Styela clava: one gene and its partners. The protein of the gene in region 3 interacts with the protein of the main gene of each other region in a pairwise test. Links are inferred from orthologs where the notes say so. Each region holds a gene or a part of one and is shown on either strand. Other genes may lie near its edges. The genes, in order: abscission/NoCut checkpoint regulator-like, osteoclast-stimulating factor 1-like and huntingtin-like.

Evidence for each region.
Region 1: the proteins of huntingtin-like (region 3) and abscission/NoCut checkpoint regulator-like interact in binary tests that used the Homo sapiens proteins (3 or more experiments, as listed by UniProt). The link is inferred for Styela clava from reciprocal best matches to the Homo sapiens genes HTT and ZFYVE19.
Region 2: the proteins of huntingtin-like (region 3) and osteoclast-stimulating factor 1-like interact in binary tests that used the Homo sapiens proteins (3 or more experiments, as listed by UniProt). The link is inferred for Styela clava from reciprocal best matches to the Homo sapiens genes HTT and OSTF1.

Annotation. Positions count from the first base shown.
Region 1 is NC_135255.1:23,672,005-23,675,762, reverse strand, and holds the start of abscission/NoCut checkpoint regulator-like, read right to left. Parts: upstream 2,867-3,758; 5' UTR 2,765-2,866; coding exon 2,711-2,764; intron 2,018-2,710; coding exon 1,851-2,017; intron 723-1,850; coding exon 583-722; intron 1-582. UniProt on the Homo sapiens protein: Key regulator of abscission step in cytokinesis: part of the cytokinesis checkpoint, a process required to delay abscission to prevent both premature resolution of intercellular chromosome bridges and accumulation of DNA damage.
Region 2 is NC_135253.1:23,031,087-23,034,844, forward strand, and holds the start of osteoclast-stimulating factor 1-like, read right to left. Parts: upstream 2,912-3,758; 5' UTR 2,784-2,911; coding exon 2,616-2,783; intron 1,964-2,615; coding exon 1,475-1,963; 3' UTR 1-1,474. Other genes in the region: integrator complex subunit 12-like, read right to left, coding at 3,369-3,758.
Region 3 is NC_135250.1:24,315,543-24,319,300, forward strand, and holds the start of huntingtin-like, read right to left. Parts: upstream 2,364-3,758; 5' UTR 2,223-2,363; exon of another isoform or gene 2,144-2,222; 5' UTR 1-2,143.

The DNA of each region.
Region 1 (3,758 bases), on a different chromosome or scaffold from region 3:
GTGGATTTGTACCTGCGATGTGTAGAAAGAGTCAAAATTTCCGTTATTCTCGTTTAAATCATACTTGAGAACTGGAAATGACAATATCGATCTTATCTATATATATATATGTTTTTTTATATATTTTTGTGTATAATTTTACTTTAAAAATAACAAGCGCTCGTGCTTGAATAAGGCCGGTTTGAATAAGGGCCCGGTTAATGAGTTTGGTTAAAAAAAAAAAAGCCCGGGCTACAAAACGAGCACATACTGTATATACTGTGGATCTCCTTTAGAAAGGGAAAACTGATATAATGGCTCAATCTTATGGCCTTGGCTTTAAAACCTTAAAAGAAATTTAAAAAGGTGTAAGGAGTCTAAAAATGATTATATGGGGTGAAGGGAGTCTAAAAATAAATAAGTGTGGCAGAAAGAGTGTGAGAAGTAAATAAAAGATGTGGTAGGAGTCTATGTTGTGGATTGCAACACGGAAGCGATATATGTGATGGAGGTCGTCTGAAAAGTATGTATAAGAGGTGCAGGGAGACTACTATTTCAATAGATGAAAGGGACAAGCGAAACAAATGAAATTGAAACTCTTACCTTTTGATTTTGAAGTTTCATCGATAAGATCATGAAAACGTTCCGCAAGTTGCAAATCTTCGTCTGACATTTCCACAGAGACTGTTTGTTTGGGCAGATGACGTTTTTGTGCGTTCATTTTTTCTTTGGCTTCCATTTCACTGAAAAACAAGGACTTAAACTAAAGTGCGACATTTTAAAGTTTGCAATCAGGTAGGTCTGATTAATAAATACAAAAGGGTTAAATTCCTTGGGTACTCACAACGTATGCATACCTGGTTGGGGTTGGGCCATAAGTTTAATCTGTTACGAGCTCGGACTGTCAGTGTTAGCTAAGTGAATATACCTCCTGTCCATAGGTTTTTAGTCGCTTTACACAAATTGATGTAAAATGAACAAACAAATTTGTAACATCCACATTGGTACTCATACTTCAGGAGCGCATTTCTCTTTCTCATATCAGCCGGATTATTACTTATCGATCTTAAGATCTGTAAGTATGTTGATAGGTATTTGTCTGTCTGTTTGTCTGTGTGTTAGATGCACGCGATATCTCACGAAAGCGAGGTGGAATCTGCTCCAAATTTTGCATGTGCATTCACCATAGCTCGGATCAGAAGCCTATTGATTTTGGATGGATTATGTCTCATAATTAGCGAGTTATTAATTAATTAGTGATGGGACACACGGTGTCACTATGGAGTAAGACCACTGTTTTGGGGGATCCCCTAACCTTCGATCGATAAGTCTTCGGTTTCTAACCGATATTCTAGTTTTAAACTCGGTTCGGAAGATAAATGAACTGCCAGACACCCAATTACAGCAAGTAGTGTCAACTTTTATTGCTACTTATTAACAGTTATGTAACAATAGAGGCAGACACGATGTAACATAAAATAAATGACAAAGATAATCCCACACTCACCACCCCCACTCAGAAACAGAGTGGGCAATGCTGAACCAATCAGATCACTGCTTCTTAATAAGTGGATCATGGCCCACTGCTGGGCCACAAAGATTTCGAAATGGGCCACAAAACTTTTAAAAATAGCTAGTTTGATTTGTATCACTAATCCTTAATTTTAATTGCAGTAACAATGATTGATGATGATGTTTTCTGCTACTGAGTGATAAATTTCATTATAAATATCAAGTGAAAGCGCCCATTTTCGTAGAAAGAAATGGGCCAGGAAAGAAAAAAGGTTGAGAACCGCTGGATTATTATTCTCACATATCTCTGGCTGCTTGTACAAGCATAAAAAATATATTATGTTGACACATTTACATACCGTTTGAAATTCATTGGAGGCGACCGTGGTCTAGGCTTTGTGTTCCCAGACGTCACAGCGGTGTGGCATTTCTTGCAAACGGAAAGTGTTTTCTGCTCTTTCGGGTCGGTCAATGTACACGATCGGCATTCTTTGCAAAGTGCAATACGGCATCGTTCACATTCAACCTGTCAATTGGCAAGGTGGTTAGGGATTTAAAATTAGCTGTGCTGGCATCGTAGATTCTTAGGTTTAAATTCCATGACATCACCTCACCCAAGGGGCAGAAATTAGGTGAAAAATATCAAACTGGGAAGCCCCCAATCCTTCTTACAAAGAAATAGCATAAACAAACAAATGTAATGAATTGGCCGATATGAAGATCGATCTTTGTACAGCAGAGAAGTGGAGTCGCAATTACTGGAGTATCCAGTAATCCATAGGTTCACAAAGTGCTCTATACGAAGGCCCAGAGCTCCGGGAAATAAACTTAGGAGGCTCCGCAAACTATTCATTTACCTATTGAAATACTGACTTGGCTAATTTTGTAACTGTCCAAATAACCAACAACGTCATTAATGAAATTTGACAAAGGTAGCGTCAAAATGTGGCAACAAGGTGGTAATTACAGCAAATATGACAATATCTGTAAGTTCCAATAGAAAATTTTTATTTTTATAAATTTATTGAGGGGCTCGGTGAATGATTGCCAACCTCTTCACACGCTCCAAATTTGTAAACACACTCAGGGTATCCAGTAATCAGAGGTGTGAGGGCAGCCTATTTCTAACGCTTAACATGATGCGCCACACCGCCGCTGTTTCACATTTTTTTAGTTGATAACAAATATCAGAAAATTATGATGTGCTGTAATCACTTACCTCCTTTCTGAAGATCCCAAACTTAGAAGTGCAAACCCTGCAACGTTTATCCATGTTCAATCTATTTCAGTATGATAATCCTATAACCAACAACTTTTTAAAAATCCACTTATACGTCAAGTGACTACTTTACCCTTCAAATATCAGGATAAAAAGATTTAGTTGTTTCGTACCTCAAGTACTTCTAGTGGGCATAGGATAACGTCCAGCGAACATTCAAATATGCACAATGGTGGTCTGGTATAGTTTAGTACCAAATGCACTTCTAGTTGGTCTGGCTCAACAATTTTCGCATATGTCATTCTTAACCCTCACCTGACTATGTCACCAAAAAATTACGTCATTTCGACGTCACAGTGGCGTAATAAGGCCCACCGAAGTATGCGGATGGTCGCCCAAAACGCGCAGACGATCACCCGAAATCTAGCATACTATTTCTCTCGTTTTCTCGTCGCAACGATCCCGATATGAGAGAGGCCGTTAGCGTTAGTGAGTTCGGTATTGTCGGCGCAGATGCCATTTCAGATGATAGTAGCTATACTTGGCAAGCTCTATGACGTGATTGTGACGTCGTAGTGACGTGATTTTTGGATGACATAGTCAGGTGAGGGTTAGGAATAACATGTACAAAATTTGTTATGCTACGCCAACCGGAAGTACTTGTGGTACCAAACTATACCAGACCCCATAATGGAATGGAATAGATAGCACAGAGGATCTATTCTATCTAAAAATGATGAAAAGTCGAAGGTACAACAAATGAAAAATTTACAGGTGATATCAAACAATTTAGATGTCGCTGCTACAATACATGATCAAAGAATTTTATTGGAAACAATTATGCCTAATGCAGGCTTGGACTATTATAATCAACTTGCAGATCGAAATGTTAAGGCTGACGCAGACATCTCTAGCTCACAAATAACAAACTGCAGTTCAACAGGAAATCTACCAGATCAAGTAAATAACAATGATAACTGTGAAAAAATTGCGCAATGGATGGAATCCATGTCAACTGAAAGTTATATGAATCGGATTTAATACCAAT
Region 2 (3,758 bases), on a different chromosome or scaffold from region 3:
AAAAGAGTTTTTTGTTTTTCTTGTAGCCATGCATGAGATAGTTGATGGGCCACAGAGAATTTTTCGTGCAACAAAAGTGGGCCACGATAGAAAAAAGGTTGAGAACACCGCACTGATCAGGGAATGCACACAAAATTATAAAATGATGGAATGACAAAATACAAATTCGAAAACATGATTCAGAGAGTACCATTTATTAGTCGATGATGATAAAAGTGCAGCATTTGATAGAATGTTATATACGCAAATGTAAATGTCCATTTAATTTGGTAATTTATAATCCAATCTGTGGTCTTAAGTAGACATAACAATCAATATAAGTAATCATACTGACTTTTTTAACAAGGATTTCTAATGCAACTTAGTTAAAGCAAATTCATTCGGCCTCAACAAAAATGGATATAGTACTGATATTATAGTTTTGTGCACCACTGCCGAATGTCCAACTCAGCGTTTCTCAAACTGTGTTTCATGAGCTTCTACAGATTGTTCCACAGAACAGAAATCGAAAATGTGACTAAATTTTGAGAAACGCTGGTCTAACTGAAAGTAAATGAGGTTTCAGAAAACCAGTCACAAATTTGAAACCTATTATTACGAGATTCCACAAAACCTTATAAACTGAAAATGGAATAAGAATTGTTACAAACAGAATTGTACGGAGTTTCAAGGACACCATGAACAAGGCTTAGGGCAATCATTCAATGAGAAGCAGGAAAAAAATTCAATTTTTCAAACCAACACTTATACATACAATTTTTGTGCAGGTTTCCTCAAAGCAAGCTCATGAGCCATTAATGAGAAGTACAAAGATTACTGATAGAATAGTTAAAACAGGGTGGTCCAAGGTTATCGGGTCCGCGGGTCACAATAGTGCCAAGAATAGGTAAACAGTGCAATACAAAACAAACACTTTTATTGCGCAAACACATAGTTATCAGTCATAGCCAATAGAATCCGCATTTAATTTTTAGTTTTCTATAATGCCTATATTGCTAGCATATATTCCCGACCAAAATGTTAAAAAGCCAGGTAACAGTTTAGAAAAGCACATCATTCAATTTTGCTAGTTTCCTCAGCTAGCCATAACACTATTTAATTCAGTGACATTAGTGATGACAATATGTCAAAAGATTTATTTTATGACGAAACAACACAAAATGTGATTTTCTGATTACTCTCCGAGGTGATGTGGGCCACAGATAATGAAGCGGCGGGCCACATGTGGCCCGCGGGCCTGGGTTTGGATCACCCTGAGTTAGAAGCAACCAGTGCCAAATGTCTAATCAAATAGTAGGCAAGGCTGGAGACGAGTAGTTACTAATTTTTAGTTTTTTCTACAAGTTTTCTCAAAGCGAACCGATATTAACTGAAAAGAGAAAAATTACTGATAAAATAGTTTTAAGAGTGCAAATATCCAAGATTCATCAATAGATATGACAAAAATATGGTTTCGCTCATGACCTTGCAAAAGTTAATCAGATTCGTCACCATCTCCCAGATAATCATCGCTTAGACTTCCAAGGGAGTTACATTTTTTTGGTTTCAGAAGACTCGCCCCCACTGGAGAGGACGCCAAATCAAACGGTGTCTTTTTATCATTATTTTGTAACAATGGGTTTGCACCTCGCTCAAGTAGAAGACGGACAATTTCATCATGGCCTTTCCAAGCTGCAGCGTGCAGTGCAGTATCCCCGAGCTTGTTTTGGGAATTCAAATCGGTGAGCGAATTCTGTACTAGCTCATCTGCAACTTCGCCGTGCCCGCTATGAGCAGCCCAGTATAAAGCTGTACTTCCGCTTTTATCCTGCCCGTTAATTCCAACCCGATTCCGAAGTGATTCTCGAAGAAAATCTAGGTTTCCACGCTTCGCTGCTTCATGAAGTGGGAAATCAATCGCTCCAGCGCTATCCTCTGACATGTAGTTGCTAGGAACGAGACCTGATTTACCCTTGCAGGTTGCCTGAAACAGAATAAATGATGATACGACTTGTAAAAAAATATTTTTGAGAAAATGAGGATTAACATCTCTAATTTTGTATCGAAATACTTCGGTGAAAAGAGCCACAAGTTTTGATTAGAAAAACGACTAGAAAAGCAGCCTTTTTTGGAATTTTTTCATTTTTTTTTTAACTTCGGGCATTCGCAATTTTGTATTACCGCCTTGATTCATAGTCAATTAACGGATGGCTAAAACTGTGCATTTCACTATTCCGTTTACATTCTAAAAAATATTTTGGAATATAGCATGTCAAATACATTCCAAATTGGGGGCAAATTCATATGGAAAATTAAATAAATGACTTTATTATTTTCATGTTGATCGTATCTGAAACAACATAAATATAAAGAAAATTATTTCTCTGTTGTTCTGAATTATTCCTGCCATCAAAAATTCACTATATTGAATATTGGTATTTGAAATGTATCCAAATAATTTCCAATTTTTTTGGACAGCCAGGGATAGCTTCCCTCACCTATCTTCTTTTACCAGTTGCAATCACTTTGATCAGTCACATAAATCAGTTACAAATATTCCGGCCAGTCATGCTCTATTACCTCCAACCACTATTATTCCGACCAGTTACACATCATTAACCAATTTCATCACCTACCTTCCACCAGTTGCTATCACTTTGGTCAGTCACATAAATAATGTCCCCTTCATCAATTGACAACTCATCTTTCTGTTGCGCTTCATAAGGATACAGAGCTCGAAATGTCTTTACCATTCCTGGTTTTGGAGCTAGCCTGGGAGGGGGTGGCCTTGATTTCGAAGACATTTTTGTGGTCGTTTAGGGGTTAATTAGTTTATAAGACTATTGTTATTTAATTGAACCTGGAAAAAGCAGAAAATTAGGCATTTGAAATTTAATAACAAAAGTACATAACATGTAGAGTTTTTGATGAATTTTAAAACAGGCTTGGCGCTTTCATTGGGACTACAGTTGTCATTCCCAAGAAAAATTCACAATACAACCAACCATATACATTATAACATCATTTTGAACCTATAACAAATATCTAAACAGTAAACACAAAGAAACCAAAAATTTGGGATAGTTAGCAGATTAGTTTTGAATTAGTTTTTCAAGTAAAGTCCTATGTTATGTTATTGAAAATGAAAAGCTCAGAACAATTTTATTTTAAGTCTTCCAATTACTGTTTTGTTAGCACCAGAATTTTTTTGAATGGAAATTCGCTCAAAGCAAGTTCACATGTAATCACTCATAAATCAAAGATATCTGAGTGGAGTCCTGGGCAACCACCAGGAAGTCGAGAACTACTGGGGCTATAATGAATTATAGAGTCTTGTTTCGCCAATCACCGAGTCATTACTGTAATATTGCGAAGTCATGAATAAAAAATCATATCTTCGATTTCTTTGAATTTAACTTCGCTTTTTTCTTCATGTTTTGGAATCTTTTCTCCGCACTGGCGAGACTAGTGGTTGCTGCCGCTTTAGGAAACATTGAAGATTTAGAAGTAGAAATCCATGACGATGGATTTGACTTATGTGAACTTGATTTTGACGAACTCGCCATTCCTGTCGGTAAATCAGCTCCAAGAGCTTCGGCAAATGCATCCGATACAGCAAGTTTGGGCCCAACTTTTGGCATTTTAGTAGATTTATCACGCTTTTCTTTAGAAGATAGAACCCCAGATGTAGTAGGTTTTACTTGTTTTGTTGTCGCTGATGGTTGGGGAATTGTTTTTCCACTCAAAGCAGCCCATCCAGATAACGACCCCCCAACTGA
Region 3 (3,758 bases):
GGCTTTAGATGATGTTAAACAATAATATATACAAACATTCGATATATGAAAAGAGCAAAAATAAAGATATATAGTCTATATATACAAGCTATGCTGTATACGGTATTAGTGGATGGTGAACTCAAAAAATGTGGTAAAAATGTACCGTATCACCAGCATGACAAAAGATTAAATGCAGCTTAGTCAGTTCATGGAATTCCTAACATATTTAAGCCAGTAACCAAATATACCGGTACTACCGGTATAGTACAGTGGTTCCCAACCTTTCTACCCTGGTGGACCGGTTAAATTAAATTAAATGTACTCGAGGACCGGCAAAAATTGAAATGACCGGAACATAAAAGAATATCGCATATTTGCGTAATACAATGCAACGTCGGGCACTCAATATGCATCTAGACAAAAAGGCACACTTAAAAAAACATCAATTAACTAAAAATTTTGCTGCTGTTTAGTTTCCAATATGGGATTGCAAACGATGCCTCAAGGAAGTTTCTGCAACACGTAGCCCTGCAGCGGCGTGCAACCAATTTCCTTGCTTCGCTTTAATTAAAGCTAGTGATGAAAATATTTTCATTTAAAAGTAATAAAAATATAAGTAACTCGTTGAAAATACGGACAACAGTTTGATTGCTCGATTACTTAGCGATGGGTATTTGTTATCAAGAGATATCCAAAATTGTGACAGTGATTCTTTTTTAAATCTGGACTGTAAAGTAGAATCACAATTTGAATCAAGCTTTTTCATTGGGTTTATCATATTAATCCCTGCCATGGACCATCCCTGCATGGGATTCGAACCTGCGAACCGACGCAGAGTAATTAGAGGTGCGGTGGCGAGCGTATTCCTAACGCTTAGCCCGTTGAGCCACACCGCCGCGGTTGGGAACCAATGCTATGGTATATGTAAAACAGAACACAAGGGAAATTTCTAATTGATCACTAAGCCATCTTATCCCTTTCCTTTCCCCAGGGATACGGTAAATAGAGAAATACCGGTATGTAAATCCTATGCTTTATTGCCTACACTTAACGCTGTAACGTTAAACCATTACCGGTACCGGTCCTATTTGTTTATACCAAACGCAGTCTTACCCAATAAATTAGCCTACCCACGGGCCACGGCATGTCTGTACAGCTGTATGTTGCGCCAAACCGGTACCGTAAAACCGGCTAACTTCGGATGATTTCACTATATTTTGAACAATATCTCCGCCGCATGTTGTTCAACTGAAGCCAAATTTGGAATATAATACATTGTGGCTATTCTCGTCTTGATAAAGTCGGTTCCATATCCATCAAAGCCTTTTTTCATTGAAATTATTGTCTTTATTCGTCTATTCTAAAATTATCTAACTTCGGATGGCCACTTTTCTCTTTGCGTCAACTCGTCGTGAGAGAGAAATGTCTGCGTAAGCAATGACGCGTGACAACGTCGCTGAATAGACCTTACGCCGCCACGACCTGTCTTGCGTGTTGAATACTGACGTTTGTACGTGACGTTACTCTTGCCGCTTCGCGAAGCTTAACTATTTATTCTTGTGTCCTTTATTATAACTCGTATATATTTCACTAACTACTCCTAATTTATTGCAAAATGCTAGTTCGTTCTTTTATGATCGTTTATTTTCAATGCAATAAAAGGATTAGCAAAAAAAAAAAACGGAAGAATTGAAAGTACCTAACACTGGTGTAGGTTGAAATTGAAATGCAATATGGAACAAGTAAAGAATGAACAAAAATTAGACAATTAAAAATAAACGGATGAATCGAATGAAACACTGGCAAAAGTAAAAATTGAAATCAAAAAGCAATATGGAACAAGTAAGGTATGAACAAAAAATCGACAGTTAAAAATAAACAGATGAATTGAAGGAAACGCTGGCAAAATCAAGAATTGTAATCATTTCCACATGGGTTAGACGGGTCTTGTGGAACCAATGTGTTTCGCTGCAGCTTTCGCAACCGACCCATTCATCCTCAATTTCCGTACTTCCATTTGGTTCATTCCATAATCCACAAGCAGAGCAGGTTTCGTCTTGATTATCACTTTTCATATTTTCTGATTTTCTCAGAGCTCCCCGTTGATCGGCTCGGCAGAGGTTCCTGCCCGGTGTGACTTTCGATCCTCGCTTTCGTTTCACTTAATAAAGTCAAATGACAATAAACGGATAAAAACGGCAAAAAGAAACTTTGCCACTTTTTTTCATTTTGCGCCTCACCTGTATGTGGTCCAACCTCCTGCTGTGTGCATGTATGTAGAGTTCTACGCTCACCTGTTAAAGATATTATTATCATCTGCCGATCGTAAACAGACATATCTAATCATTATGATCGTATAGATACATGTTTCAGGCCTAACGTATTACCAATTGCTACGGTATCTATCGGTGTCGGAGGAAGTATGCAAAAACAAAAATCGACAAATTTCATATGCATTAAGCGTATGCATACCCATATTTTTAAATAAACAACATATGACTGAGACGATAGTGATGTTTTTGTAGGATTTAGTGACTAGGATCATGTATAAGCATAATTTTTAAATTTCACAAAACTGGGCGCCGCGATGTCTGGCGTTCAAATGTCGCAGCGAGTAACGCACGAGCTACGCAAAGTGACGTCGGCTACGAAGAGAGAGAACGGGATTTGCGTCGTTGACGTCACGCTGTACGTAATCATCAAAACGTCAATATTTTAATGTAATTTTTAAATCAAAATAACCGATTTCACTCGAATCTCGTACGACACCTTGTGATCACTGTATTTTTTTGTATACATTGTGTACGCTCTCTAGCGCTTGGCGGTGATTTGACGAAGGTAGCGTCTGTAGAAGTCACGATTTGAGCCGCTCGAAAAAACGGTGTCATTTTTTTGGTAAAATATGATTTTTTGAATGATAAAAAATCAAATCGAGCGATTGGAGGCTACGGCAGATTCAGATATGTAAGGCCTTACTATAGAAACCGACAGAAGCGCAATACGACGAAATTTAGTTGAGATATGAATGATTGAAAATTTCATCCGAAGTTACAAAGCATCCGAAGTTAGCCGGTTTTACGTACCGTACCGTAACGGCTTACAACTAATACCGGTATCATTTCAGTCGGCACTACTGCTGTACTGAGTAAACGCTAATCACAGAGCGATTGCGTTGTGAGTTTTCTTTACTGGTACCGGTACCGGTGAGACTTTATGATTTTCACATTTTTGAACACGTAGTGGACATAACGATCGTTTCAATATTATGTTGTTCTTGTTGTTTGACACAGAATAACACACCTAGTGGAAATATTAAAAAACCGCTTTTCTCTTCGAATACCGGTACTGGACCAATTGCTTTGAAATTTTAATTGGTTGAAGATAAAATTTTTTCCCAGAAGGCTATTACTTTTATTCATTTTAAATATTTCTGTTAGCTCTGTGATATTTGTTTTTGTTTGCCATGATGTCGGACGCCATTTTGTGTCCTACTGTACTGCTTCGCTTGGTGTGAACAATGACATTAAACAACATGATAGGCAACTCTGACGTCACTCCATAAGACTACAGGCAAAACATTGTATTTCATGATACGCTCCAATGCACATATTTCTCGTCGCCTTTCGCGTCCGTTTTCCGCTCGCTTTTGCTACTCGGCGTCTTTTTTACGTGTAGTACCTGCCTTTTTGCGCCTGTAACGAAACAAAATAATCTCTATATCTAAGAAGTTTTGCTTACTTGGAAAGCTGGAATAACAGGCAAGCTGTAAAGAGCAA